7 linked regions of the Kluyveromyces lactis genome follow. The protein of the gene in region 7 interacts with the protein of the main gene of each other region in a pairwise test. Links are inferred from orthologs where the notes say so. Each region holds a gene or a part of one and is shown on either strand. Other genes may lie near its edges. The genes, in order: RRP12, NSA2, DBP9, RLP7, DRS1, NUG1 and EBP2.

Region 1 (5,156 bases), on a different chromosome or scaffold from region 7:
AACAATAGATTACCCACACATATAGAAAATGAATCCAATTTATAGTTGCACTGGAACACAATTTGACTCGATGTAACATCATGAGCACTAATCTCCAATACAAACCTGAACATTACACCAAACATACCTATTAAATACTTGAGAAGTTAGACATTCACTCACTCATTCACAAAAACATAACATAAACCATCTTTTTGTTCTTGTAATTTTGTTAATATTTATGAATTTTCGGAAATCACATAGTTTAACAGTCAGTATTCCTCGATGATACTTCCCTCATTCAGGGAAATATATGCTGATGACGATTATTATTATTGTGTAGAATTACCTGATAGCATCTTATATATGGTGATATGTAAATTTAATCACTTCAATTTTACCGCATGGGGCCAAGCTGTTAAGTGTATGTAACTACTACATTGGTTTATGACCGGAAAAAGTGCCCGAATTCCTCTTATCAATTTAAGCCTATATACATGAGTTCTTGACCGTAAGAAAGCCTTGGGAGATGGTGATTTATGCCCTGATTATTGATATACCGCTTTTAATACAGTAATCGGAACAGCTGGTCTATTCTTCAAAGACTTCTTTCCTAGGTTCAATAACAACCCTACTACTTGTGTAGGTCTTTCCCCAATTTTCATCCAGGATTCCAGCTTTTCTCAATAGTCTTGTTACCGTATCACTAGGTTGAGCACCAACACCGATCCAGTATTTAGCTCTTCCGAAGTCTAATTCCACATCTTTAGTAGGAACAACACCTTGTTTAACCTCTTTCTTCGTTAATGGTTTTGGGATTGGGTTGTATGTTCCTAATACTTCAATTGGTTTCCTATTCAACGCCTTATGTTTGTTGGTAACAACTATGTTGTATACTGGGGTATGTTTCCTTCCGAATCTAGCTAGTCTTATCCTCACCAAACCTTTCGTCATGATTATTGTATTTCACCAAACTTGGCGTTAAATTCTGGTTTAAGAGACTTGGTTTACTCGCTCTGGTCGTCTTGATACATAATATGTTTGTCCTGTTATTACGCTTTTAATGTTGATTGAATTTTTTTTTCTATCTTTCGAAGGATTTTCAACACCAACTAAATAAAGCATGTCTATCACGTGATATAGGTGGGATATCTAACAGCCGTATGAGCAACATTCGTCTTAGGCGTTTATGGCGACATTACAGCCTAATAGTATAGGAAGTTGATCTATGAGAAAGTATCTATAAGTGAGAAAGTGTTTATTTACTGGAGTTAGACTGACGGTGGGAATTAGTTTACCAAAAATGCAGTCATATAAAACGACTTGGCATTACAAATAACATCGCATTCAGTAAAGAAAGTTAACGACACAAATAATGAAATAGTATGTTCTTGAACCCGTTTAGCAGACGCATATATACAGAGTTGGCATATATTAACCAAAATTTATTTACTTTTTATTCTCTGCTTTCTTCATTGCCTCACGATCCTTGCTGCTTCATCACTAAGGGCTTAAAAAGAAATTTTTCACAAGCTGTATAAAATTTTCAATCTAGCTCATCTCATCGCTCATCTCATCTAACAAGTAGAGACGAGTTATAATCAACAACACCTCAGAAAAGAGAATTACTGAGTTTAACTTGGGATTGAAAACTGACAAGCGAACAAATTGTGCAATATGGGTCCTGAACAAGCGTCCAAGCTTCTTGAACTTGAAGATAAGCTTGCTAAAATCAGAGGACAATCTACATCAAAACTAGAGAATCAGAAGCACATTGCCATAATCTTGGCTGCTATTGAAGAAAATATTAATGAGCAAGAGGCAATTAATAAGAACATCGTGAATTATCTTATTTCTTTGATGTCCTTGCTGGATCAAACTATCGATACAGAAACTGCGGCCATTAAAGATCTACAATTAGCAACATCAACGATGTATTTGTTGGACATCATTTTTCATTATACACCAAAGAAAATATTAAAGAGCAGGTTTGCTGATATTTTGATTAAAGTTGCCCCATGTATTACTGATGAAAAGGCTAACGCTCCTTTGATCAAATCCGCTCTTGGTTGTTTAGAAGCTTTGTTAATTGCCCAGGATACGCAAACGTGGAATAACACTCAAAATTTAAAGGTGACTCCAACAAGAGGTTTGGATGGTCTACTTGAGCTATCTCTAGATCCAAGACCAAAAGTAAGGAAGAGAGCACAGGATGCAATTACCAACATTCTAAAAAACCCTCCACCTGGTCCAACAGCAGAACACGTCGCATCACCTTTGATCTCAGCATTCGCTATTAATGCATTGGTATCCATCCTTGATGAATCTGCAACGATTTCCAATAAGAAGCTAAGAGCAATGGGAGGTGCAAGTGAATTGAACTCCAAAATCATTCATATTTTGAAACTTTTGAGCAATATAATATCAACAAATCAATGGCCAACTGCGCATGTGGAAAAACTCTGTGATCTGCTATTGGAAGTTTGTAAAACCTCGGACCAATTTTTGGTATCTAATTCTTTTAACTGTTTTGAGGTTCTATTCCAGTCTATGGCCGAGTCTTCAGTCTCATCTGGCTTAGCGGAGAATAAATTCATGAAAGCCCTTGATGTCATTTTTTCATTAAAACCATCCCAAAATGATACACATTTGGCAGCAGCCTGGATTGCAGTCGTCGCTAAAGGTATCAGCACATATGCGATTCACGATCCATTAAAGTGTTTTGTTAAGATTCCTGAAGTTTTCAGAACTTTATCATTTTACCTATCAAGTGAGATTCCAGATATCTACTTTAGCGCAGCACAATGTTTAATCGCTATTGTCACTGACGCAATCAAATCAGAAATTTTGTTGTATCCACCTTCCGTTTCCGCTGAGCACTTTGAAGCAGTTGATGAAGTTATTCAAGAGTTGTCTGAGATATTTGTGGATCTATTATCTATTAAATACACACATTGTGCTAAGGCAGTGTTAAATGTTTTGACGGCTACTTTCAAAAAGTTGAAATATAGAGCCAATCCAGATTTTATCAAACCTCTAGAGATTGTAGGCAGTTGGAGAACAGATGAACAAAACTTCTTGGACTTGAGATCCGAGGCAGAAAACGTTATCGGTGGGGCTATAGAAGCTATTGGTGTAGATGCTGTACTAGGATGTTTACCACTAAATTTAATTAGTCCATCTACATCAAAACCGGGAAGGGCCTGGTTGTTACCAATATTAAGAGACTCCATCCAGAATTCTACGTTAAATACATTTTTCAAAGAGTTTTTACCTCTTATCAAACATTTCGAATCTCAATTCGATAAATTTGGTAAAGAATCTGTTCAGTTAAAGGTATATCAAACTGTTGTAGATCAAATCTGGTCTTTATTGCCACCATTCTGTGATTTGCCAACCGATTTGACTGAAGCTTTTTCTGATGAGGTGGCTGCTGAATTGTCTGGTTTGTTATATTCCCACGTTGAACTTAGAACGACTATTTGTCGTGCTCTAAGAAATCTCGTCGAAAGTAATCTAGTATATCAAAAAAACTCAACTACAGATTCGCTTCTTTTGCAACACTTTTCCATAGAAAGTGCTACGAACAGTTTAGAATACTTGTCTACCAAATCTTCTAATATGTTAGCGGTGCTCTTCAATGTTTATACTCAAACCGCTCCAAACGCCAGAGGATATATCCTTGAGACAATTGATTCTTATCTGCAAATAACAAAGAAAGAAGACCTTGCACAAACATTTAATAATGTATGTGGGCTCTTGAATACTGCTCTTCAAGAAGAAGCTAAAAAGAACAACAATGAAATGTCTGCTACTTTGCTCGATTTAGTTATCGCGATGGTAAAATATGTTCCACCTTCCTCATATGGTGCCCTCTTTGCTATTTTCAATTCCATCGTCAACTCAGAAAATGCATTATTCCAAAAGAGAGCATACCGTATTATTCATAAACTTTCAGAAATCGAAGAAGGTTCCGATGCCATCACGAATTTCATATCTGATATTGAAAATGTCATGTTGAACAGCGCATCAACTGTTCACACTTCCTCTAAATCAGCAAGGTTGGCGGCAATTAGAACTCTCGTAAATTTACTTCCACCTACTCAACTAGGATTTATTGTTCAGGTTGTGGCAGAAGTCATATTGTGTACCAAAGATGTCAACGAAAAATCCCGTGAGACGGCTTTTGAAATTCTTATCCAAATGGCTAACAAAATGGATAGTTCAGAGGGTGTTATCAAACTTTCCTGCATTCCAAATTATGACCCCAACACTCCAGACCAACCCTCTTCCGTTGCTGAATTTTTCAGAATTATTTCAGCTGGTTTAATTGGGGAATCGCAACATATGGTAAGCGCAACAATCACCGCATATTCTTGTTTGGTTTTCGAGTTTAAAGATAAAGTTGATGTTGATGTTCTCTTAGAAATTTATGACACAATCGAACTATATTTAACCTCTAATTCAAGAGAGATTGTCAAAAGTGCGATTGGTTTTGCAAAAGTTTGCTGTTTAGGTCTCAATGATGAAGTCATGAAGCCTAAAGTTCCAGAATTACTTCCTAAATTATTACGTTGGTCTCATGAACATACTGGCCATTTCAAGGCAAAGGTTAAGCACATCATAGAAAGATTGATTAGGAGATTTGGATACGATTATATTGAGTCAATATTCCCAGAAGAAGACTTGAGATTGCTTGCCAATATCAGAAAGTCTCGTAACAGAAGTATTCGTAAACGAGATGAAGGCGAAGAAGAAGCGCCAGCGCAAGCTGCTCCTTCAAATAAGTCGTCTAGATTCATGTCCGCCCTTGATGAAGCTCTATATTCTTCTGAAGAAGAGAGTGAAGATGAAGACAAAAACAATACAAAATCTGATAGAAGAAAGAAGGGTTCTAAACAATTCATTGTCGAGTCGAAGGAGACCCCATTAGATTTATTGGACTCTCAAACATTGGCGCATATTTCCTCGACTAGACCAAAATCAAATAAAAATGAAAGAAGAAGGATTGTCGATGATGAAGTGTTCAGCTTTGATGCAGAAGGTAAGTTGGTTATGAAAAACGATAGGAGAAGAGGAGAAAATAACAATGAAGATCCGTTAGAGGCTATTACCAGTGGTGTTAATGCATACTTAGATGCTGTCAAACAAGGTCCAGTAAAGGGTCAAAAGAACAG
Region 2 (3,644 bases), on a different chromosome or scaffold from region 7:
GACTGTAGGGTTACCACATATCAGACATGCTTTCCTATCCTTTGCTGAGACTTTCTTTCTGGTGTATTCGTTCTTCATCAGGGGCGCTGGAAGTTGTACGCTGGTAGGAGATTAGTAGGGGTGATAGGTGGTGATTATATCTTGCAAAGTTGGAACGCTTAGATTGTATTAATTAATTATTGGTGATTACACCTTGATATGAAGAAAACGAGACAAAACGAAACGAAACAAACCACATCAAAGCTAGAGTTTGAGCAGTGCAACACCGTTATCATTCGATTTATAAACTACGTATTTGACACTATATGATGACAATAGAGACGTATGGATATTTTAGCCTATTTATACATAGAAAAAGAAGGACCTCAGGTTTACAACTTCTTCTTGGCTCTTTCCCAAGCATTTCTAGATTTCTTATTACCTCTTCTGCTTGTACTATCCTCCAACTTACGCTTGGAGTTGAAGATACTGAAATCTTCACCGGCGATCATATTAACCTTGGCCATGATTTCTCTTTGTTTTTTCATTCTCTTGTCAGTCTTGGATCCGTTGGGGTTCAATCTAGTGAAATTTTCTTCTTCGAATCTTTGAACATCACGTTCACGTTCTGTATCTCTTGCTGTCTTCACACCACCTCTACCATGGTTGACGATATTGGCACCGATAGAAGTTTCCCATTCCGGTTGTTCCGAGGAATCCTTCAAGTATTCTTCCATAGCTTGCATACGAGACCTGCTACTCTTATCCTTATGTTCTTGTGCGTTGAATTTATCCTCGAAGTGATGTTGCTTTGGTGGCAGAACGGCACTGATCTTAGGTGGTCTATAAACGTTATCTTTATCATCCACATCTTCTTCATTGTGAGTACTCTTGACAGCGATTTTCCCCTTGGCTTTCCCTCCAACTGATGTGTTATTGACCATTCCTGAACTGTTCGGCCTATATTGCATCTCTTCTTCACTATCAGAATCTGAGTCTGATACTTCTTCCTGGGAAGCACGTACGTCACTCAGTCCCTGCAATTCGGCTCTTTTCTTGGATTCTTCAACGTCTTTCTCCAGTCTAATGTACGCCCGCGTCAATTTATCCAGCTGGTACCCTAACTTCTTCTCCAAGGGCTTCACACCTCTTTCAAGAACAACTCGTTGTTCCACTGCCCTGACTCTACCCTCATCAACAACCATCTCTTTATTCAATTTCTGTCCCAATACCAACAGAAGCGAATTCAAATACGATAGCATACTCCCATTCTTCAAAGAAAGTAGAGAAACTTTTTCTAATTTATCACCTTTGTGACCTACCACCGCTGAACCTTGGAAAGGATGGGTCTCCTCATCATCATAGACTTCTTCTAACTTATCCAAGCTTTCTCCACAAGATTTCAAAGAATCTCTAATCGTTTTCAAAACAGTTCCTAACTCCTCAGACATGGCTATATTTCCGCTGTAACCCTTGTCAATAGAATGTAATGAGGTTTTATACATCAATAACAGTAGATCGAACCTATGCCAAACCCACACCAGACAACCAAACTTGTATCTGGCTGATACCCATCTCATCTCATCTCATCGCTTGATTCCAAATTTTTTTTTTCACTACGTTTCTTTTCGACATTTCCTATTGAATTTTTTTCTTTCAATGAGAAAAGCATACAAAGACAACTTGAACAACTAGCTCATCGCATGGGTTAACATGTGGTAAGAAGTCCATTCAAGGAGTCCGTGTGTCCGTTTGTGATTTAGAAGTAAGTCATCACCGAACAAGTCGTTCTTACAATAAAACAAAGATGCCTCAAAACGAATATATCGAACAGCACATCAAGCAACATGGTCGTAGATTAGACCACGATGAGAGAAAACGTAAGAGAGAAGCCCGTGAGGCTCATAAGATCTCTGAAAAGGCTCAGAAATTGACTGGTTGGAAGGGTAAGCAATTTGCTAAGAAGCGTTATGCTGAGAAGGTTGCTATGAAGAAGAAGATCCGTGCTCATGAGCAGAGTAAAGTTAAAGGAGGGTCCAAACCGTTGGATGAGAACGGGGAGGCTTTGCCTACTTATTTGTTAGACAGAGAACAGAACAACACTGCAAAGGCTATATCCAGTTCCATCAAGCAGAAGCGTTTGGAGAAGGCTGACAAGTTTTCTGTTCCTTTGCCTAAGGTCAGAGGTATCAGTGAGGAAGAGATGTTCAAAGTTGTTAAGACAGGTAAGTCTAAGTCTAAGGCATGGAAGAGAATGATCACGAAACATACGTTTGTTGGTGAAGGGTTTACAAGAAGGCCTGTGAAGATGGAAAGGATTATCAGACCTAGTGCTTTGAGACAAAAGAAGGCTAATGTGACGCATCCGGAACTTGGAGTCACCGTTTTCTTGCCAATTCTTGCGGTGAAGAAGAATCCTCAATCGCCAATGTACACACAGTTGGGTGTATTAACCAAGGGTACTATTATTGAAGTGAACGTCTCGGAATTAGGTATGGTTACTTCTGGTGGTAAAGTGGTTTGGGGTAAATATGCTCAAATCACGAATGAGCCAGATAGAGACGGTTGTGTCAACGCTGTGCTACTTGTGTAAGAACAAGTACAACCTATTACTACCAAAATTCCTACTCATCTCAATTATTCCCTATTGCATCACCCCCCACTCCGCTACGTTATTGTATATTACTATTTCATTTTAGAACTGAGTTCCCTTATTAGAAAGTACTGGCTAAATCATCATTATTTAATCATATATTTAGCGTTAAATACTGAATTATAGCCAATGAGACTGACAATTTCATGCCTCGCTGCCGTTGAGATACCAGCTATTCCAATGCATTGAACTAATTGCTACTCACACGTCGTGTCAATTGACCTTCTGGACCCTCAGGTTACCCTAAGTATTCATCTTTATTGTTTCACAATAAAGTAGGGTACTACCCTACCAAATCATACCAAATAATTTTATCTATATATATATATATATTCAGTATTATACATACACATTCTTTGCGCTTGATATACACAAACTTACCTTCAAAACAGCACTTATTAGGTCAGATTCTAGCACTGGTCCATATACAGATACTAGCGTCGACGTTGTTCAGGAAAAGAACATCATTGATCCCACTGGAAACGAAGTAGTTCCCCAGATCAAATTGATTTCTGGATCTACGTTCTAGTTTTCACCACAGAAACTGATCCGTAAGCAATCAGTGCTTTTTCCAAACCCCACCAGTATGTATTGAAATTTGTCCTAACGGACAGCCCCTTTACCCATTAACCTTTACCTTCTTTCCCCCTGTTCTGCATCTACAGAAAGCTTTTGCCAATTAATGATCCAACTTGAGTCTCGTTTAAATTACTGTTATAGTGATACTGAAAGTAGCACTATACAGATTCTCATATTAGAACTGTTGCAGGTGACTACAGTACCTTTGATCCAGCCTCTTCGCTCAATCCAACCCTCTTTTTGATTCACATTCTCGTCCTGATTTAGAAGTGCCGGACAATAATCCTGGCCACGGTGGACTTCTCTGCCTAACAGCTATTTCGATCGTGAAAAATGTCTGTCCAGACAGATTGTCCGGCACGTGAGCAACCCTGGTTTTCCCTGAATCATTTTTCTCAAATTCCTGTCTACGCTCATCTGATCTGCCTAGACC
Region 3 (4,432 bases), on a different chromosome or scaffold from region 7:
TCAGCAGAAGTCGTGCATGAGATTACGATGACGTTATTCTATACAAGTTTTATTTTACAAGACTTTGGACTAGATGGATTTACCAAATATCAGGAGCTCATATATTCCGTATGTGGCAGGATTTGTCAGGACTTCGATATCTTCGATCAGATACTAAAAGAAATGATTTCTAAAATGCAATTTAATATGGATAATAAGATTTATCACTCCAAGCTGATGTTCATCTTGGAGTATTTGCAACTCAATTTGGCAGAATTGAAGATACCTGACGCATGCTATCTTGAAGAAAGAATTGAACCTCTTGTTCGACCATACCTCGATTCTTCCGATGTTAAACTTCGGGAAAGCGCACATCTTGTATGGCTTGAAGTGTTTAATAATGAAACCTGGAAAGCAGATGTCACAAACTTTAAACTCAAAAGATTGAGGCTATACTTACATGATTGTTTCAGACAATGCAGTGCATCTTTAATGACAGAAAAACAATTAATTGTAATTTGGAAAAGCATACTTCCAACTATAAGATATCTTTCTAATTATGACAATGACTTAATCCGGGATCTAATTCATTCGACCTATATTAGAATAATCAACACTGAAAATTTACAAATGAAATCCACTAGCATACAATGTCTCATAGAACAATTCCACAATGTGCCTGATGAATACTTATGGGATTGGTTAGATGCATGTAACGAATTAGCCCGAACTCTTCCGCCTCTAATGAAAGAACATATCATTACTAAATTATGGGAGTATATATCACATTCTCACAATGAACTAGCAATTAGATGGTGGTATGATAGGATAGTTCCAAATTTATCAAGAATTTGATCTATACTTATATATTCCTAGTGCTAATGTTAAATAGGCTGGTCGTAATTAATTGAATATCTATTTGAAGCTTTTCAAAGGATCAGATTTACCCTTTCTTTGGACATTCCCCTTCTTCTTAACCACTCTTCCGTTCTTTCTATGCGAATTTTTGTGGAATGGAACGAAACCGATCTTCTTATTATCTTTCCTAGCAGTTTCTGGTAAAAGATAGTCCGGAACTCTTTTTAAATGCTGTTGTACACGAGCAGGATGTAACTCCTTGTCATGTCTCAAACTCTCTAAGTCATGAGGATTCTCTTCAAAATGTCTCTTTAGTTTCTCACTTGCCAAAAGTTCCTGTTTTAACTCCTTTATCCTTGCCTCTCTAATAGCAACCTGAGTTACTGCACGGAAACCGTCTTCCATTCTATAACGGAAACCTTCGACCTGTTTGATATCAAAGTTGTAAGGCTGTAGTTCAAAGCCTAATTTAGCCTGTTGTTTTATAATTCTGCCTAGTATCTTTTCATCCTTCTTAGCACTCTTGATCATAGATGGTTTATGCTTCCCGAATTCCTTCAAAGGAACAACAAAAGAAATAGAAATTCCTGACTTCCCTGCACGAGCTGTTCTACCAATTCTATGTACATACGATTTTGCAGTGGTTGGTAGATCAAAGTTTAATACACAGGCAACATTTTTGAAGTCCACACCGCGAGATACACCATATTCTTTGTCTTTCTCCACGTTTAGCTTTGGCTTCTTTTGTTTCTTTGCATTGTCTTTCGTAGTAACAGTGGAATCATCGACAACCTCAACTAAACCATCCTCAGTTTTTTCTGATTCTAAGTCTTCGTCTTCTTCTTTGATATATTCAGTATCGTCTGTAGCTATTAACAGTTGATAAACGTTCTTGTTGAATTCTTCTACGATATGCTGTCTTGAATTTGCTGGCAGTTCACTGTTCAAAATGCAAGATTTAATACCAAACTGTTCTAAAACTAGCTTTAGTCTGTATCCTCTATCGATATTGTTAACGAAGATTAATGTCTTACCCTTAATTAGTCCCAGTTTGAAAATCACATAACACAATAGGAACTTATCAAATTCTCCAACCTTCACATAATATTGAATAAGCTTTGTTTGATCTTTGTTGACTTCGTCGTCATTAAGTTTCAAAATCGCTGGTGAACGGCAGAATTGCTGCTTCAAGTGTTGGATATCGTCATTTAGAGTGGCACTCATCAAGAAAGTTTGTAAACTCTTTCTCAATGGTAAGCGTTCTGAAATCTTCGTAAGGTCCTCTTGGTATCCGAAAGTTAACACCAAATCAACTTCATCGATAACCAAGAACTTCAACCTGTCAATATTAACATCTTGCGCATCTAGTAAATCTACTAACTTGGCCGGCGTAGCTATCAATATTTCTGGATTTTCGGTAAGTAAAGATTTCAATAAGTTTCCCGATACATTACCCGATGAAAGATTTAAGCATTTAATTTCTTGAGAACAGAAAACAATGAGCTTTTCAACAACTTCTAAAACTTGCTGAGCCAATTCTCTAGTTGGGACCAATATTACCCCTAGAGTGGCACCTTCATCATTCTGATCTGCCTTCTTATGATCTAAAATTGTTTGAATCACTGGTATCAAATATGCTAAAGTTTTACCAGAGCCGGTACTAGCTTTCGCTATGATATCCCTTTTCTCTTGAAGAGCTAATGGTATCGCACTGGATTGGATCAAAGTAGGGTGTTTGAAGCCGATACTGCGGATGGCTTGTGATAAACGTGAATCCAAGTGGAACGAATCGAAAGAAGAAGAATCATCAATGTATCCCTGGGAAGCGCTTGTTTGAGCCATATTGAAGCGTTTTTCTGGACTCTAGCTCTCGTCGAACACTTTAACTATAACCTCGGTTGTAAGTTTCGATCAAAAGGTTAATGCTGCTGATAGTTGAGACCCATTTAGCCTGTTTTACAGCTCTTGTACGTTCAGACTCTGGATGAGATGAGATGAGCTTCCCAAAAATTTTCTTGAGGTGCAAAAAGAAACTACACAGGCAAAAGGATTTATGAGTCACGTGATTGAGTTATCTTGTCTCTTCTGGATTGGCAATGTGAATGAAATACCTCACTGTAGCTCTGATTTTGCCATGGTATTGGTAGATTGATTTAAAATTTACTGTTATAATGAGAATATATATATATATATCGCGTTTAGTAGTTTAGTAAATGGTTTTTTGTCCTCTTGGTGTCTTTTGTAACTTGTCGAAAACGATATGTTCATTCAGTTAATTGAAACTTGAATGCATCTTTAAAGTTTTAATAGATTATTTAGTACAGAGGAACACCTTGGCAAGATGGCAGTATAGGGTTGAAAAGTATATAGTTAATGCAAAAAGATGATTAATGACTAGCTCATATATAATCATATCTATATATGAGACAGATTAACACAATGGGGCCACCAAGTCGGAGCCAATTTTTAATAAACTCTCTATTCTACCTTTCAATGGATTAGAGTTACATTCTTCCACAACCATTTTTGAGAAGTTTATACATGCTGTTGTTTTTCCTAAGTTGATAGTGCCTTTTATTTCTTCTTTGGAGTCTTCCTCATTCAAAAATAATGTAAAAGTATCACCAAACTGTTCCTTGAAAACTCTCGATATGTTCTTAATTTTAGTCGTGTGATCATCGTGTCCATGATGATGTCCACATGACTTCGAACTCATTTTGATACTTGCTGGAGCGCTCTCGACACTCAGTAGAATTGCCATGACACTATCCGCGACTGAATCACTGATAACATTCTGAGTCCATTGCAATGTAGCTACATTGTCAACTATATTTAATATTACATCTCCCATGATTTTTATTTCTAGTTCACCCTTCTTTATCTTCCTCGTCTTGAATTCGGGATTGATGTTCTTCAATGAGACGTTTTCTTCGTCAATGTATACATCTACGTCACCAAACATTTGGCAGATATGCCAATATACTAGTTCGCTTTTACAGTCCAAGTGGACTGTCTGTCTTTCTGTCAAAACTGTAGTAGATAATTGTTGATAATGTTCTCTTAAATCTGAAAGCGAAACTAAACTTAGATCAAAATTCTTCTCATCTGACACCAATATACCTGAAACTATTTTCTCATTTTCTTCTTTGACAATTTCCGTTTTACTTTCCTCTGTTTCTGGATCCTCTTCATGGATTTCCGTGATTCTTTTCTCATTCTTTAGTGCGTCTTCTTCAGTTATAAACTCATCGAGATCTTCAATAATTTTCCCAACTGCCCTGGCAACCTTAACATCCTTGAACTCAATATCAACAAAGACACAATTTCTAGGATTGAAAACATGAACCTCGTTTTCAGTATCCTTGAGAGAGCTGAAATTAGAAAGAAGGGCTGATTTTAAACGACCCATTGGGTTGGATTCGCCATGAACTAAAATGATGTTGCTAGCTCCAATTAGCTCGATAAATTCTAAATTTTCCCTAAAGTCAACATGAGCAGCGAATGTTATTTCATCCACTTGGCAACGTCTTGGGATAGTTATCTCAGGGTTGTGTACCGAGGGAATAGCCTCAGGTTCTAGTAACAAATATTTTGC
Region 4 (3,620 bases), on a different chromosome or scaffold from region 7:
TCTTCTTTTCTTTCACCAAAGTAGATACCACCAACCAATTCTCTAACGACGACGAAATCGGTACCCTTTGCATATTCAGGCTTCAAAGGAGAAAGATCTAGTAAAGAATCAGAAGCAAAGTTACATGGTCTCAAGTTGGCGTATAGACCCAATTCCTTTCTGATCTTCAATAGACCTTGTTCTGGTCTAACTGCGCCCGTACCCCATTTTGGACCACCAACAGCACCTAGTAAGACAGCATCGGCTTTCTTAGAGGCTTCTAGAGCTTCATCTGGTAAAGGAGTGCCAGTGGCATCGATGGCAGCACCCCCGATCAAGTGATGTTGGAAATTGAACTTAATTTCTGGACGGACTTCAGCAATGGCATTCAAGACCTTAATAGCTTCGTCAGTAACTTCTTTACCGACGTGATCACCCGGTAGGACAACGATATTCTTAGACATGGTATAATCTGTGTAGTGTGGGATACTTTTTACTTCTTCAAATAGGTATCAACAATAAAAATAAATCGAAGCAAATGTAGGAATGCGTTAAAGCAGATGTACTTACTTAGAGTACATAGATATATTTATATAATTCAATATATAAAAGTATATGAAGCATCTGATGTTGAACCTGTCATGACTCTAAACTGGAATGGGTAGTTATGCTTCTGAAGGTTTTCCGTTAGAAAATGAGTGCAGGGATCAGGCCCGGAACCGGTTTTAGCCTGAAAGGAAAAGAAAAAAATGCGGTGATTACTAGCACGTGACTGCGCTGAATTGGAATCCACCACAAGTACAGCGAATGGCAAGAGGGAAGGGGAATATATTGTGCCTGGCGGTAGCGTCTGCTATATCAAATGTTAAACATAACTAAATGCAGTAGTGAATAGAGTAATGTATTTCTACATATGTGGGTAGGGCCAATGGGAGCCCGATGTCTATTGTACAGATATTTTCCTTTTATAGTTAATCAATTCAACTTGGAAATCATTGAGTCGATATCTACTTGGATAACTGGAGCCGTGGCAGCGTTTGAAATTTGACGAGTCTTCTTGTTTTGTTCGCGCATTTTCAGTTTATTCAAACGGGAGATGGCACCGAATCCACTGACTTCTCTGTTCAATTTGAATGGTAATAGGAAGAAAGTACATTTCGAGAAATTTTCGCCCAACGTCGAAATCTCATGGATGATATCCTCGATACAAATGACACCTTCATCACCTAATTTCTCTTCAACGATATTGTTGTCATTCAAGATTATCTCTTTTGGTTCTTTATCTTCTGGCCTTTGCCACATTATTCTAGATCTCTTTTGGATTAAAGAACGGATAGATGCAAGTGAAGGTTGTCCGATAACAATATATGGTGATACAAGTTTCAACAATGGGTACACGTCCTTGGTAAGTTTGATGAAAACACCAGTGTTCAACTCAACAAGTCTCAAAAGAGATAACACTTTGTAAGCCTTTGCTGGGATCTTCACAGCTGTGGGTCCTTTCACTCTTATAACAAATAATAAGCTTGGCTCACCATCGTATACGATTTTTTCCCTGATTAACCCATCGTCCTCTTCATCTTCCTCATCAACATCTTGAAGCTCAGATTCGGATGTAGCCTTACTACCGGCTTCTCTTTCAGAGATACGCAAGATAAAATCCCTATCGGATGGGATATGTGACAAATCGTTCTTGACCTTTTGGTTTTCTAAGTCTCTGACTCTTCTGATTCTGGTCTTTTCTCTCTCAGTAGCCAAAGTTGTGGCGACTATCGTCTCAGCTCTAACAAATCTGTTCTTCTTACTACGTTTCTGTTTCTCTTCTTGCTCCTTTCTCTTCTTGGCAAGCTCCTGCTTCTCCAACCTAGTACGATCAGCATTTCTTCTCTTTCTTAAAAGAACCTCTGGGTTCGAGTTCAATGGTTGTGACATTTGTTGCTTCTATATTACTGCCCTGTTTATTAATCTCAGCACAAACCAGCTCTATATAATACAACTTATATGCTCCTAATACTTCAGATTAGCCAAGGTCATCTCTCATTGAAAGCTTTATTCATAATCTTTAATTTCATCTCATCGCATCTCATCGCACTGAACTTTTTTTTCCTCGCCAAAAAAATTTTCTGTAACGAAAAGAAACACTTCCAGTCACGTGAACTGTGAAACCAAGATCTTCTGTTTGACACTCAGACAAGTAGATGATCAATTACAATTACAATTACAAGCTGACCTCGAATAGGGTACTGGCAAGTTGGCGTTTACCTGGGATGATCTGTTGCTGCAGCATGGTGTACCCCAGCAAGATTCTTCAGAATTAAATGGGAACATTTCGGAAAGTTACCCAAAGAATGGGAAGCAAGTTAAATAGTCAAATAGTCAAATTGTGACTGTCTATATGTGAATCGTATATACAGAGACGAATTTTCAAGCAGTTTCCCCTATCTACCTGCTGCAGGAACTAGCACTTCTAACCGGCAGTAAAGTTTTCCGTATCAGCTCATGAAATCGTTATATCTTGGCTTTTGACACTGGCTTTCGAGGTGGCTTTAGGAGTCTCGAAATGTGTGCCCACAGCAGTGTTTCCTTCGAAACCAGCCGTGGCTCCATTCTTTGTACCATCTATGCCGCTCTCTGTTTCGAAACAACCGTGAGATCAACTGTGGTTCAAGTTCTCAACACAGAACAAGTAAGAAAAAAAAGAAATGGGAAAAGGTCCCTCGAGAGGAAGAATGCTGAAAAGGCAGAGAAGGAACCTCAGAGCAAAGTCCGCCCTTTATCATAAATCGGCGGTCTTTTCTTACAACAGAGATCCCAGTGGGGCGGCTCGAACGACGGAAAAAATTTCGAACGATTTAACCGTGAACGCATGCCTGTCCCTAAATTGTAGGACGTTTTCCTCGATTTAAATTCCAAATCACTGAGCGATACCGCTGACAGCACTGGAATTATGCTACTCTTAAGTTATATTTTTCCCTTCGCTCACGTGATTCTAGGAAGATAGTAAATACACTGTGCCGTTTGTTGAGCTACAGCGTGAACAGTAGGAAATGTACTTCCACTACGGGCTGACTAAGTCCACGCTCGAAGGAATAAAAATCACTTCGAGTGTCTTATGTTTTTCTTTTCTATCAAAACGACAAGTACGATAAAAAAACCGGCATGAAAATCGAGTAGTGGTTATCAGAATGAACATTGCAGGACCCGCGCTGAACCCAAAAGTCGACTTTCTTGATTCTTAATTGTAATCTGACTCTTTGAATGCTTTGAGCTTCGAAATTCCTTTTTTTTTTCTTTCATATTTAATAGTGAAAGTATTGAATCCTCGAGAAACTGAAAAATTATACAACCATATAATTAATACACACTGAGCCGTATCTGATTGAGTCAGATCTAAGTGATTGGAAACGAGTAAGGTTTGTAGGACTCTAGTTTCGGATATCCAGTTTTTTGAGTGTTGTATCGTTCCAAGGCGGATTGTAGGTCCTGTCTGTTGTGTTTTTAGTTCTTTCGTTTTTTTTTTGAAAGAGAGTTGTGTGTGTTTTCTTTTTTGAGTTGACAATCAGTGGTACATCTAATCTTTCTTTGGCAACATTCCTCATTCTTGGGTTGTGTGTGAGTATCGGAACTATCAGTTTGGAATT
Region 5 (5,098 bases), on a different chromosome or scaffold from region 7:
ATTTTAGAACGAGAAATACACATATTATCGTCTATAGGATGGATGTTCGTCGAGCTTGGTGAACAAACGTTGAAAGGGTTGGAAACTAAAGAACTTGTCACCATAGCATATCCTAAATCACTTCAAGCGAGACACACTTTGGCAACACAAGATCAGAATAACAGTGTTATTTCAGATGATTTTCTATTCCAAATTAGATCAGTGTCCAATAGATTGGAGACTGTCCTCTCCTCAGTCCAAGGTGGTCTTATCGGGCTGGAAAATTCTGCCAATGGACGATATACTACCTTTGATAGTAATACCAAACAGGCCGTTATGAAAAACTCGTCCGAAGCAGATCTTCTTGCATTCCTTGACCATTTAATCACCCGAATTGAATCGTCAGTCGTCTTAATGAACTTACGCCAACAGGTCCAGGGTGGTTTAACCATATACAAATCTGGTGATGCAATGAAACAGAAATCAATCTTCCAATTGCTGGATGACCTTCTAGCCAGAAACCAATTATACATAGAAAACAGCCATAATGACGAGAGCGAGCAACAAAGCTTCAAATCTTTTCCGGAGGAGTAGAGGACTTGATTTCTTTATTGTTACGTCGAAAATGTCTCATGGTTTCGGACCCTTTGATTAATTGTCGTGATTTCATCAAGAATAATATAACACATTTCCATTACATAAGTATATAAACATGCAAAACTTTTTATTTTTGTGCTTCTAGATCTCTAAGTTCGATGCTTTTCCCTGGAACTTGAGAAGCTGGCTGGCTGGCACTGGCAGGTGCAGAATCGTCATCCACCATACCTTCGAAAAATGTGTCTTTCAACTCTCTCCACCTGGTAATCCAAGTCCCAAGGAAAATCAATATCAGTGTAGACAAAAATTGCAAGATAAACCATGCTAGTGAAGGGAATAGCCCTGTGTGTGTCCATACTACTACTAGATTTATAGCATGGATTGTAATGGCAAAATCCCACGCGAGTTTACTCCTTCCCACTATGATGGTCAAAAAAAAGACACAAATCAAGGAATCAATTAACCAAAGGGCTGATAAAGAAATACCAAAAGAGTTTGAGAAATCAATGTCCTGCCATGTAAACAACCATTGCTTTAGCTTTATTTCGTACCCACATATTTTCGCCCAGCAATAAAACAAAGTTGATGCAGTGAGATAATAGAACATTTGCAAGAGTATAATCTGAACGATTATTTTACCAGGGGACTGAGACTCTTGTTTGAAGATTTCAGTGGGTAATAGTTCTCTCGGAACACGCATGTATCGTCTAAGCGAAGCCATCTCCCTGATTGGTTGAAATGTCTCTAATCGGTCGCCTTTCTAAAACTGCACTTGGTACAGTTCAATTCTATCAAATATAACTGGTGCGAACAACCAAAAGAATTCACCGAATATTATAGGAGGAATGCAATAAGTAACGAAAGAGGACTAACTACTCAATTCTGTCTTTATTTTCAAGTCTCTCAAATCATGTCTCAATCACAACTCATCTTGGATTTAATATGTTGCTTAGAGATTCCGAACTAGTTTCCATGTTGACAACCAGTGGTTACCCTAACTTGACGATATGTTTTTCCTCAAAAGAAATTTTCCATGTTCAAGCTTTTCACATCTGGAATGGCGATGAGATGAGCTTGAGATGAGCTACGACAACTAGAATAACTTAGCAGTGAGTACTGTTCATTGTTCCTTATTATAACTTCTACAGGTGACATACTATTTATCTAGTGCTATTATTCTTCACTCATTTCTACTTTGCGAGAAAGAATAGAATTCTTGTTGTTCTTTGATTGAGTATTAAGGTAAGTGGAAAATAAAGAGATATACGGCATTCGTTAATATGGCTGTTAAGAAGTTTAGATCATTCGATGATTTTGTTCCTACAATTAGTGATAGCGAAGAAGATGTTCCAGATTTAGATGCTTCTGATGACGAAATGGAAAAGAAGCCAGTGAAGTCCTCAAAAACTAAGAACAAATCTAAAAAGAAGGCCAAGCAACAACAGGGATCTCACTTGGACGAAGATGTCCATGAAGATTTGAATCCAGAATTCCAATTCTCCATTGACAGCGGAGAAGTTACCACCAACTTTGCAGGCTGGGATTTCCAAGGTGATGAGAAGAGTGATGAAGTTGAGAAAAAAGATGTCGATCTAGATGGGATCATTAGAAGAAAAGGTGGTTTGATTATGATGGCTGCTACAGGCAGTGATGCCGAAGAAAGCCTATCAGAAGAGTCCGAAGAAGAACCAGAAGAAGGAGACGAACCTGGCGAGAGTGATGATGAAGATGAATTAGCTTTGGATGGGTTCGGTATGGGTGTCAAGAGAAAGGCAACAGAGGAAAATGAAGAAGATGAAGAGGATGAAGAAGAAGAGGATGACGACGAAGATGACGACAAAAAGACCGAAATGAGTCAGGCAGATTTAGGTAAGGGAAAAGACGAAGATGAAGACATTGAAGAAGACACTAAAGAAGAAATGGCTGAATTTTATGCTCCAGAAGAGGAAAGTGCGGATGCTAAAAAGATCGTTCATAAAACTTTCAACAGCTTGTCGTTATCCCGTCCTGTGTTGAAAGGGCTTGGAAGTTTAGGATACACCAGTCCTTCTCCAATTCAAAGTGCTGCTATTCCTATTGCCCTTCTTGGTAAAGATATCATTGCCGGTGCTGTTACAGGTTCTGGTAAAACAGCTGCTTTTATGATTCCTATCATCGAACGTTTGTTGTACAAACCTGCACATATTGCATCAACAAGGGTTGTTGTACTAACTCCAACCCGTGAATTGGCTATTCAAGTGGCTGATGTTGGTAAAAATATCGGTAAGTTTGTTAACGGACTAACGTTTGGTTTGGCCGTCGGTGGTTTGAATTTAAGACAACAAGAACAAGCATTGAAGACCAGACCTGATATCGTAATTGCCACACCAGGTAGATTTATCGATCATTTAAGAAATTCTGCGAGTTTCAGCGTTGATTCAGTTGAAATCTTGGTCATTGACGAAGCTGATAGAATGTTAGAAGAAGGTTTCCAAGAGGAACTACAAGAAATCATGTCTCTCATTCCAAGTAAGAGACAAACTCTGTTGTTTTCTGCTACAATGAACTCAAAAATTAAGCAATTAATCTCGCTATCTCTAAAGAAGCCTGTTAGGATTATGATTGATCCTCCAAAACAAGCAGCAGATAAATTGACACAGGAGTTCATCCGTATACGTAAAAGAGATCATCTCAAACCGGCATTATTATATCAATTGATTAGAAAGTTGGACAATACAAGCCAGAAGAGAATAGTAGTTTTTGTTGCTAGGAAAGAAACTGCCCATAAACTGAGAATCGTCCTTGGGTTATTGGGTATGCAAGTTGGTGAATTGCATGGTTCGTTAACCCAAGAACAACGTCTACAGTCTGTTAATAACTTCAAATCCTTACAAGTACCAGTCTTAATCTGTACCGATTTAGCTTCGAGAGGTTTAGATATTCCAAAAATTGAAGTGGTTATCAATTTCGATATGCCAAAAACTTACGAAATTTACTTACACAGAGTTGGTCGTACTGCCAGAGCGGGTAGAGAAGGTCGTTCAGTAACCTTTGTAGGCGAATCATCTCAAGATAGAAGTATTGTCAGAAGTGCGATCAGATCAGTGGAAGAAAACGCTGAAAGTGGAAAGGCCTTGAGTAGAAACGTTGACTGGACACAAGTCGAGCAAGTCAACAGCTTGATTGGAGCAAAGGGTGATGTTGTAGAGGAGATTATTGAAGAAGAAAAGCAAGAGAAAGAGATACTTAGAGCTGAAATGGAACTTCGCAAAGGTGAAAACATGCTAAAACACAAGGAAGAAATCAGTGCAAGGCCAAGAAGAACCTGGTTTCAATCAGAAGCTGAGAAGAAGAACTCTAAAATGCTTCAAGTTTTGGCAAAAAACAAAAAGCCAATCAACAGTAAGAAGAGAAAACAGCAAGAAGCATTGGCTGAGAATCCTCGGCTATATAAAAAGACACAAAAAGATCGTGTCGAATATCAGGAACGTCAATACAGCAAGAAGCAAGCTGCCTACGGAAAGAAGGGAAAGAAGGGTAAGAAATAAATTACTGTCCTATGTTCTTAGTTTTGGCTTAATTATCAATGCGCATGAAAATTCATTATATACTACATAAACGCAGTTGAGGTGTTATTACATAATCATCAACTCTCATTCGTAATATATACCCATCGAGAGTTGCTTTAGAGTTTCTGGATTGTAATAAAAGTCATCCGTTTCCTCCTCTGAGAAGGATTCCAGTGACTCATCATCTCTAAATTTATCATCAAGAGCAGCAAGTTGGACGTTCCTTCTTAATTTTATTAATGTATCGATTTGTTTCTCAGTTTCTGGTGATAATTTGGCGTGTTTACTTTGTGATAATAATTGTAAACCATCCAACCAGGTGTAGAAGCTCTCTGTACTCTCCAAGTAAAATGCAGATAAAATTTTCCCGTTTCTGTCAAAGGTGGTAACTTCTCTATAAATTGTGTTCTGAAGAATATTAATCAATCTAACACCTTCAGGAAGCTTTCTATCGAGTTCAATTTGCCTACTTTGAATGTTTATAATATTCTTTAACGGAATGACAGTAGTTTTGTTATTTACCATGGCAGAGTGATCGATGGTCACTATTTCATTATCTTCAACAGTGGGTGTCTTTTCCACCTTATGTTTGAATTCTTTTATCAATAAATTCATCTGATTATCTGATAATGCAATAAATGAAACCTTTGGTAATTTATCCTTTGCTTCAATTGGGTTCTCTGAGTACACCCATGTACCCTTCTGCATCAATAAAAGTCTTTGGTAGCGTACAAATTCCTGCACTTGGTTTTGTAAAATCTCATCAAAGCTACTAATATCTTCTGCCCAGTCATTGAACTGTTTTTCTCTCCATTCTGCTACCTGCAGCTGTCTTAAATCTTCGTACGTAAATGTCTCACATACCTCAACGAATGTTTCAACAAAAGAATCGTGTTTTGTGCGGCATATCTTATCTGCCTTATGAATCAGTATTTTAATAAGTTCAAGCAAAGATTCAAAATCTTCTTCAGTTT
Region 6 (4,374 bases), on a different chromosome or scaffold from region 7:
CTGTAATGAGGTTAAAACATCTGGAAGTTTTGATAGCAAGTTTGAAGAAATGTCTAGCGCCTTTATTTGAGGGAAAGCCTCTATTATTGTCTCTATATCTCCATTTCGGAGCTTACAACATGCCATTGATAGTTCTTTGACATTGGAAAATTCAAACTGTTCACTGGAATCCGCTTCTAACTTCGTGAAACAGTTCCCACTCAATATAACAGTCTCGACAGATGGAAATAGTCGCAGTATGCGGTACACCTCATTTATGTCAGAAAACAGATTGAAGGATAAATCAAGGTATCGCAGAGAAGAATGAGCACTATTAAACGGAATGCTCGAACAGGTTGTCTTGAAAGCTCGGAAAATGTTGTTTTCTGATAGCGTGATACTTTCCAACTTGTCAAAATCAGAGTTCATTTCATTCAAATGCTCAAATCCATATGACTCAGTCTCTTTCGACCCAAATTTGTAGGTAATATCGATTGATGAAGTATCACCGTATTTCATCAATAATGCACCTTCAAACGATGTTCTCTCTTGCCGAGATGTATCTAGTTTAGTCTCCTTCACAAATGAGCCACTGCTCTGTCCATCGGATGTTCTGAAGTATCGTACTCCGTTTAACGTTCCATCATGTTTACCTCTTTGCTTGTTGTCCCACTCTAAACCATATGCAACGATATTAGGCCATTCTGGCAATGATCCGATGTATCGTACTGTGCAAAACTCACCTCCTATATTCAATCTATCATTGACATTGATCTGCATATTTGGCCCTAGATTTAGTCACGCTGTACACATAGTGTAGCCTGGAGTTCGTATGGTAGACTCACGGATTATTTCTCTTCTTCACTCTTTTAAACATTTTGATTTTAGTAGGCATTTAAAGTATTATTTAAAGGTTTGTTACCTAAAGAAAAGAGATGACAAAAACGTCTTGCCGAAGAAGATATTAAATCATTTATATGTAGTAGTGTACAAATGTGTATTGTCTATTAGGTGCGTGGACTGAAACGGGTGTTCAAATTCACATCCTAATACATAAGCTTTTAAATCTATAGCTTTAACGATGCGAAATAAAATAAGCAATAGGATCCTTGATCGTATTTCATAGAGATGCAGAATAATTCGTTTTCTGTGTTCTCAATTACCTAAGTTGTCTTGTTCAGCTTCAATGGCGTTATCCAATGACGCGAAAAGACCATCCAAATCGAATTCCTTGGACCATTCTTGAACAATGGTCGTTTGTTCCACCTTAGCTGGTGCTGCGACAGCACCAGTACCTAGAGTTGGTTGGTTAGCTTCACCAGATGTAGCAGCATGTTCTGCAGCAGATTCCTTAGAAGCATTGGGTAGAACCCATCCTAGGATCTTACCATCTCTCCAATCGTTAAGAACGGATATACCAGCGCTGGCCAAGTTTGGAACACCGCCCTTACCTAATCTACCTCTCTTACGGGCGATATGGATCAAGAATTGTTTGGTGAAAGAGTCTGCATCGGCAGCTGGGATAGGTGGTAATTCGTACAACTTCTTGAAACTTTCAGTCATTTCTTCAGATTTAGAAAGTCTCTTCACTAATTTGAGCACAGCTGGGTAAGGATCTATGATGAATTTTGGAGGTAGAGCGTTCAACAAGGCCAACTCTGCTTCTTGTTCCACTCTACTCATCTTTTTATTTTCACTTGGGAAACAAATACCTGGAGAATCCAAGATCTTTAGCTTGTTATCTACCTTGACTTCTCTCATAGATGTAGTGACACCAGCTTGGTTACCCACTGGACATGCTTTAGAAGAACCACCACGGCGAGAGGTCAATGCGTTAATGACAGACGACTTACCGACGTTTGGATAACCGATGACACCAACAACGATGGATCTCTTCAAGTTTGAATTATTGGAGTAAGTCTTCAAAGCTTCTAACAAGCTTGAAGCAGTTGTAGCCTGAGTCAAAGTCCTGTTGAAAGATGTGGAGTTAGTGGCACCAGGAGCAGCTCTCAATGGAATAGTAGGGAACGAGGATTTCAAAAAGGTTAACCATTGTTGCAACACGTATGGTGGCACTAAATCGATCTTGTTCAAGATCAAAATTAGTCTCTTACCCTGGGATTGAAGCACGGCCTGTTCCACTCTTCTCGATCTAGTTCCTTCTGGATCTCTTGCATCTAGCACGTAAAGGATAACATCGGACGCATCCACCACAGTCTTGAATATCTTATCGTAAGCCTTTCTAGACTTTTCTAATTCAGAATCATCATCATCTGCGTCAGCGTAAAAGTCTACGTCGTATTCAGCAACCTCTAAATCCTCTTGCTCTCCATTCATTGTATCATCGATACCTTCCCCATTGTACTCCTTTGCAGCTTGCTGAGCGGATTCTAACAAAGCAGAAAGACCATTGTTGCCGTCGTTTTCATCTTCATCCATAGATTCATCGTCATCACCAACATCTTCACCTAGTTCACGAGTTCTTCTCTTAGCCTCTAACCTTTCCTGCTTTCTACGTTCTTTCTCCTCCAAATCAGTTCTTCTCTTCGCTTCAATCTCTTCGATGATCCTGTTCTTGTACGGGAAATTGGCCGGAATACCTGGATCCTTACTCTTATTGGATTTCCATGTCACATCCTTCTTAGCAAGTTTCCGCTCTTTCCTATGTTGAGCAGCAGCCTTCTTCTTGATACCCTCCTTCATACGAGTGGAAGTTCTCTTGGAAGTTCTCTTTCTTACTCTCACCATCTCTTTTGATTAATGGAAAAAGGTATATTTACTGCACTGGATTATAGATATCTTAGCTGTTCCGGTGAACTTATCACGGAAAACAGTACTGAAACATCTACTTGAACAGGTGTTCTGTAAATATCAAGTCTCATCTCATCTCATCTCATCTCATCGCAGGTTTTAACATATTTCGAAGAGCTGAAAAATTTCAAAGTAGAAAAGAATTTCTTTTTGCTGGCGGACGACAGTGGAAACACAGTGGATACTCGTCAATTACGAGGCAATCTTATGCTACTCGCAAGCCATAATTTGTGTCAATAATATTTGGGACGTATTTGGTATATCTATGAGCACTTCCAGGCAGATATTTAACATTATATATACAGTAATACCGTCAAGGGCAGTGAAACTGTCAGTACATATAAAGGCAGCCCAGTAGCCGTTGCGCAGTTTTTTTTGACACTAGCAGGGAACAAAAATCATCTCAGTAATAAGAACTGATATAACGTGATATACGATACGAAGTTGCGAGGGTGGAACTTGTTTTACCACATCTCTCATCCTCTCTACTTCCAGTCAGTGTAGTAATAACTGCGAAGTTATTACTTGTTACCCGGATCTCGTGAAAATTTTCATCAACCGTAAACAAGAGACATGCCACGGTTGTTTCTGTGGCGTTTATCACGTGATATATATTTCCGTCGAGTTTCCAGCATTTTTGCTTAGAAATTGAGAAACTAAAATGATAAGGAGCTATCCAGTTGCAACTTACACAGTCTTGTCCGTCTACTAGTTGGTTAATCGGTATTTCTTCTGTTCTTTTATAACAAAAGCAGCGCCTAAGTTTAGTTATCTTAGCGGCTCATCATTCGACTTCTTACCGTTCAGTTTCCAGCTATTTTTTTAGGCTGTTCTGAGTCATATACCGAGGCAAGAGAAAAGAGAAACTATGTCATTGCCAGCAGCAGCTTCAGCAAATGTAGCTGTCTCATCTAGAAGGAGGGGGCCAAATTTGAACATTGTTATATCGTGTCCCGAATGTAAAGTTTATCCTCCGAAAGTTGTGGAACGGTTTAGTGAAGGTGATATCGTCTGTGCATTATGTGGGTTAGTCTTATCGGATAGAATTGTGGATACCAGGTCAGAATGGCGTACTTTTAGCAATGACGATCAGAATGGAGACGATCCAAGTCGTGTTGGTGAAGCTTCAAATCCTTTGTTGGATGGAAACCATTTAACCACACGTATCGGGCAGGCCCAGGGAAGTGATGCTAGAGTTACTAGGGATTTGAATAGGGCTCAGTCGAAATCTATCGTTGACAAGAAGGATAACGAGTTGCAAGCTGCATATGCGAAGATTACTATGATGTGTGATGCTGCAGAACTGCCCAAGATTGTTAAAGATTGTGCTAAAGAAGCTTATAAATTATGCTTCGAAGAGAGAGTCTTGAAGGGGAAATCACAGGAAAGTATCATGGCTTCAGTTATTCTTGTCGGATGTCGGAGAGCAGAGGTCGGGAGATCTTTCAAGGAAATCTTATCCTTGACTAACGTGCGGAAGAAGGAAATCGGGAAGACGTTTACCATCATCAAGAACATTCTAAGAGAAAAGAATGATAGAGGGTTTGCCAATATTGATACTTCAAATATCACCACAGGACAGAC
Region 7 (4,161 bases):
TGGTAGATGTCTTGGATGTTCAATTCGTTGAATACAGCTCTACATTTTTGTTCCTTTTCAGAATCCTTTCTACCGTAGTTTTCGTCCAAGATATCTCTTTGTTCTTTTGTAGCATTCTTCAATGCAACGTTGATGACCCAAGAACATTTGTTGTCTTGGATATCGGTACCAATCTTACCGATATCTTCTGGTTTACCGAAACAATCCAAGAAATCGTCTTGGATTTGGAAATATTCTCCCAATGGGATCAATACGTCGCTGGCCTGTTTCAAGTCCTTTGAGTCGGTAATACCGGCAGCAAACATGGCCAGTGCCACTGCTAAGTAGAAAGAGTAGTATGCAGTCTTGAAGATAACGATGAAGGAATGCTTTTCCAAAGAGAACTTGGATAAGTCGACTTTGTCCTCTGGTGCAGTGATCAAATCCAACAACTGACCCAATTCGGTTTGAAAAGTAACGTCATGGAACAATTCCAATAGATCGACGTAGTATGGCTCTGTTCTGAAGTGTTTCTTCAACAGACAGTAGATGGCACCTTCCAACATGAATGCATCGTTGATCGCAATGTCGCCGACGTTTTCCACTTTGTACCAACATGGTTGTCCTCTTCTTGTGATCGATTGGTCCATCATGTCATCAGCAACCAAGAAGTACGCTTGCAACAGTTCAATACACCAACCAAGGATGGCAACCTTCTTGTACTCTTCTGCAGATAGTTCGCTCACTGACTTGTAACCTTTCAAAAGCGCGTATGTGTCAACGACAGAAAGACCACGGTTCAACTTACCACCTGGGGTGTTGTAGTTCAATGATTTTTCGTACCATTCGATGGCTTCTTCGGGCATACCGTACCCGGCCAAGATGTCTCTAAGCTCTTGTACTAATGATGGGAACACTTCCAAAAACTGGGCTCTGTTATCACTCATTCTATCTATCAGGTTCGTTGTCTATTCGTTTCAGGTACCAATGGTAGAACGTTCCTCAATTGAATTGCCTGCTGAACTCAGCTGAATGGTACATAACCTGTTAATATACTTCAACGCAATCAGTATGGTGGAATGTTCCAAAGTTCGTGATTTCGAAACGGCTTTAAACGAGATAGTCAAATCACGTTTGTATTATTCATGTCCGGGTAAAAATTTCTTTAACGTAATACATATACTTGCAGTATACATGAATTTACATACATTATGGAGGAAGAAGTATCTCGTGGTGGTAATGCTATTGTACATGTACGTTCTTGCTCCTCTATTAGTTACTCTCAGTGTCTTCTTGAACGCTTGGACTTGCCTGGACGTGGTGCCTTACCCTTCATCTTTCTTTGGGAGAATTCTGGCATTTCAGCGGAGGATTGGGCATCGTTCTTTCTCTTGTAACGTTTCAAACCACCTGAACCGTATTTGGAATTCTTAGCTTCTCTCTTGAAATTTGGTTTATGCTTCTTTTCCGATTGGGCGGCGTCTTCGACACCGATATCGAAATCGTCACCGCCGATTTCGTTGTGCTTTCTCTTCTTCTTCAAGTCCTTAATCTTATCGAGTGTTTCTCTCTTATCCTTTTGACGTTGTTGTAGAGTAGCCACTTGCACTTGTTTACCGAATTTCTTTAAGTCTCTTTGTCTTCTAGCTTCTTGACGGGCCTTCTTTTCACTTGCCTCCTTTATCAATTTACCCTTTAGTCTGTCCATATGTTCATCACTCTTAACCATTTCGGCGAAATAATCTAAAGGTCTCTTGAATGGGACCTTCAATTTCTTTAGCTTTTCACGGGCGATGGTGACAGCATCCAAAGACTGTTTGTAAAATGCTAATTCTCTTTCAGTGTCATCGTAGATGTCCTTGATCTTTTCGTCGGTGTTGAGTTGAGAGGTGACGGATTGATGTTCTTGGAATGAATGCTTTTCCCATGGTTTTTGAATACGTTCTAGAGCATCCTTCATAGCTTTTACGTTATTGATGGTAGTTTTTTGGTATGGAACGACATCGGCATCTTCGTCAATTTCAACATCAGATAGAGGAACGTCCTCTTCCTCTTCCTCTTCCTTTTCTTCTTCTTCTTCTTCTTCTTCTTCTTCTTCTTCTTCCTCTTCTTCATCAGAATCGGAATCAGAGTCACTGTTTGCCAACTTCTCAAGATCTAGACGATCTTCTTCGTCACTCTCATTATCAGATTCTTCTTCTTCTTCTTCTTCCTGCTCTTCTTCCTGCTCTTCTTCCTCTTCTTCTTCTCCCTTCTTCGAAGGCTCCTCGGCTTGCTGCTTCTTGGACAGCTTCTTCAACTTTCTCTTCTCTTTTCTGGACAAAGCGTGGCTCTCGTACTCGCCGGTTACCCCCTCTTCTTCATCTTCTGATTCAACTTCTGGTTCAACGTCCTCATCAGCTCTCAAGTCATCCTTGGTGACTATCACTGGCTCCTCGTCCTGAGCATTAGATGGACTTGGTTGTTTGGTCTTTTTGGATGTTACCTTCTGTTCGCTTTGGTCAATAGCCTTACGACGGTGCAGAAGCTCCTTCAACTTGAATCCTTTAACCATTGTTGCCGTTTTGCGTACCTATATGCCTTAGATTGAACAAGATCTAACCCTCACCCGTCAAGTTACAGCGCCTCATCTCATCCATCTCATCTCATCTCATCTCTTTATATTGGAAAATTTTTAGCCTTGATGCTTTGAGAAAAAGAAACGCCTCGAGACTTATAACCATTCTAACATATAGATTCAAGAGTTAACGGTTTATATATATATATATTTATCTGGGTGTGTTTGAGTATACTATATGTTACTTGCAGCTACTAATGCGTCAGTGACCGAATTCTATGCGGAGCCTATACAAATCGTTTTTGTTGCAACTTCTTGAATAGATCTTGATCAATGTATTTCTTTAATGATGGCCCGTCTTGAGTCATGTGACCACTTTCAGATAAACCCTTGCGACGTCTTGTCTTCATCACAAAGTCCCTGCTTAGGCTTGCAGCAGGCGCTGGTTTCAACTTCGGTATGAAGGCTTCTTCGTCAAGTACGTCACCTGGCACTTTTCTCCATATTTTATTCCAAAAGTGCATTTGACACATTCCGCTACCGGCGGTCGCAACACGAAGATCTGTCTCAAATCCAATCGACTCGATGACAGGTAATTGAGCCTTTATTTCTATGAATGGTGATGCCACTATCTTTTCTGTCTTGTAAATTCTTCCACCTCTGCGTCTCTTCAATAAATTCTGAATCACAGACTCCAATACCCCCGATACGATAATATCGACTTCATAGATGGGTTCCATGATAATTGGAGTAGCAGACATTAGCGCAATGTAACATGCCTTTCTCGTCATTGGCACTAGTTGAGATGGGATGATATCTTCGATGCTGTCTTCTTGTACCTTGAATTGCAAGAGTTTAAATTGGCATGCATGGATTGTTTCATCAGCCAATGGTCCTTCTTTCACAGCCCATTCAAACCCTTGTAAAATGTTTTCTTTATATTTCTTGAGTAGTTGCTTATCCGTTTCATCAGGTAGAGTATCGTCAATGAATACATTACATTTTGATAAATCCCAGCAGTTTCTAGCTGCCAATGAGTCCCATCCATACTCGGTTCTTAGACGTTTGGAGAACTTTCTCATGTTATTCAATTCTGAACTGTCGATTTCACCATGCGTCAAATCGTGTACTATCTTTCCATCTAATTTTTCGGCCATAACGCTGAGTGATACTACACCGTTGTTTGACTTTACAGGAATTGACGCGAACGATTCGTTCTGACAACTTTCCGTGAATTGCACAAGCGGTTGGCTTACTTTGATCTCAATTTCACAGAATTTTTTCCGTAATTCGTCCATCACGCAATCAAGGTAAAGTTCTCCTGTTCCAATTATGATGTTTTCGCCGCTTTCTTCAACTCTAACCACTAATGCAGGGTACAATTCGTTTGCTTGTTGAAGACCGTTCAATAGTCTCGGTAGTTCACTTGGTTTCTGAGGCTGTATGGCGAATTTGAACACCGATTCGTTGAGATAGTTAATTGGTGCTAGCGGGTTCATCAAGCTCGAAGACAAAGTTGCATATTTCGTATACTGATCTTCAAAACCTTTTAAAAGTACAATCTGTCCTTTTATTGCTTCCTCGAGTTCGTAGACATACCTACCTCCCATTAAGGCTACACGCTC

What was found.
Region 1: the proteins of EBP2 (region 7) and RRP12 interact in binary tests that used the Saccharomyces cerevisiae proteins (3 or more experiments, as listed by UniProt). The link is inferred for Kluyveromyces lactis from reciprocal best matches to the Saccharomyces cerevisiae genes EBP2 and RRP12.
Region 2: the proteins of EBP2 (region 7) and NSA2 interact in binary tests that used the Saccharomyces cerevisiae proteins (3 or more experiments, as listed by UniProt). The link is inferred for Kluyveromyces lactis from reciprocal best matches to the Saccharomyces cerevisiae genes EBP2 and NSA2.
Region 3: the proteins of EBP2 (region 7) and DBP9 interact in binary tests that used the Saccharomyces cerevisiae proteins (3 or more experiments, as listed by UniProt). The link is inferred for Kluyveromyces lactis from reciprocal best matches to the Saccharomyces cerevisiae genes EBP2 and DBP9.
Region 4: the proteins of EBP2 (region 7) and RLP7 interact in a two-hybrid assay, tested with the Saccharomyces cerevisiae proteins (2 studies listed by BioGRID, with this or other methods). The link is inferred for Kluyveromyces lactis from reciprocal best matches to the Saccharomyces cerevisiae genes EBP2 and RLP7.
Region 5: the proteins of EBP2 (region 7) and DRS1 interact in binary tests that used the Saccharomyces cerevisiae proteins (3 or more experiments, as listed by UniProt). The link is inferred for Kluyveromyces lactis from reciprocal best matches to the Saccharomyces cerevisiae genes EBP2 and DRS1.
Region 6: the proteins of EBP2 (region 7) and NUG1 interact in binary tests that used the Saccharomyces cerevisiae proteins (3 or more experiments, as listed by UniProt). The link is inferred for Kluyveromyces lactis from reciprocal best matches to the Saccharomyces cerevisiae genes EBP2 and NUG1.

What each region holds. Positions count from the first base shown.
Region 1 is NC_006042.1:2,519,126-2,524,281, forward strand, and holds the start of RRP12 (mRNA-binding protein RRP12), read left to right. Parts: upstream 1-1,656; coding exon 1,657-5,156. Other genes in the region: CIP1 (Cip1p), read left to right, coding at 1-45; MRPS16 (mitochondrial 37S ribosomal protein bS16m), read right to left, coding at 571-933. UniProt on the Saccharomyces cerevisiae protein: In association with GSP1, required for nuclear export of both pre-40S and pre-60S ribosomal subunits. Required for the late maturation of the 18S and 5.8S rRNA of the pre-40S ribosomes and for maturation of the 25S and 5.8S rRNA of the pre-60S ribosomes.
Region 2 is NC_006041.1:1,204,762-1,208,405, reverse strand, and holds NSA2 (rRNA-processing protein NSA2), read left to right. Parts: upstream 1-1,786; coding exon 1,787-2,572; downstream 2,573-3,644. Other genes in the region: VFA1 (Vfa1p), read right to left, coding at 1-78; small subunit rRNA maturation protein LCP5, read right to left, coding at 372-1,559. UniProt on the Saccharomyces cerevisiae protein: Involved in the biogenesis of the 60S ribosomal subunit. May play a part in the quality control of pre-60S particles. Under normal, rapid growth conditions, high levels of NSA2 would allow the progression of pre-60S particles through the ITS2 processing.
Region 3 is NC_006039.1:416,323-420,754, forward strand, and holds DBP9 (ATP-dependent DNA/RNA helicase), read right to left. Parts: upstream 2,680-4,432; coding exon 895-2,679; downstream 1-894. Other genes in the region: PEX8 (Pex8p), read left to right, coding at 1-834; cleavage polyadenylation factor subunit YSH1, read right to left, coding at 3,269-4,432.
Region 4 is NC_006040.1:417,726-421,345, reverse strand, and holds RLP7 (Rlp7p), read right to left. Parts: upstream 1,912-3,620; coding exon 955-1,911; downstream 1-954. Other genes in the region: LEU2 (3-isopropylmalate dehydrogenase), read right to left, coding at 1-443. UniProt on the Saccharomyces cerevisiae protein: Involved in the biogenesis of the 60S ribosomal subunit. May act as a specificity factor that binds precursor rRNAs and tethers the enzymes that carry out the early 5' to 3' exonucleolytic reactions that generate the mature rRNAs.
Region 5 is NC_006042.1:1,452,879-1,457,976, forward strand, and holds DRS1 (putative ATP-dependent RNA helicase), read left to right. Parts: upstream 1-1,856; coding exon 1,857-4,103; downstream 4,104-5,098. Other genes in the region: CYR1 (adenylate cyclase), read left to right, coding at 1-573; SYS1 (Sys1p), read right to left, coding at 704-1,297; LMO1 (Lmo1p), read right to left, coding at 4,209-5,098. UniProt on the Saccharomyces cerevisiae protein: ATP-binding RNA helicase involved in ribosome assembly.
Region 6 is NC_006040.1:1,172,943-1,177,316, forward strand, and holds NUG1 (RNA-binding GTPase NUG1), read right to left. Parts: upstream 2,728-4,374; coding exon 1,135-2,727; downstream 1-1,134. Other genes in the region: PAC2 (Pac2p), read right to left, coding at 1-759; SUA7 (transcription factor TFIIB), read left to right, coding at 3,659-4,374. UniProt on the Saccharomyces cerevisiae protein: GTPase required for 60S ribosomal subunit export to the cytoplasm.
Region 7 is NC_006037.1:606,475-610,635, reverse strand, and holds EBP2 (Ebp2p), read right to left. Parts: upstream 2,534-4,161; coding exon 1,262-2,533; downstream 1-1,261. Other genes in the region: ERG20 (bifunctional (2E,6E)-farnesyl diphosphate synthase/dimethylallyltranstransferase), read right to left, coding at 1-926; U5 snRNP GTPase SNU114, read right to left, coding at 2,824-4,161. UniProt on the Saccharomyces cerevisiae protein: Required for the processing of the 27S pre-rRNA. Probably involved in the step of the processing of the 27 SA precursor into the 27 SB intermediate.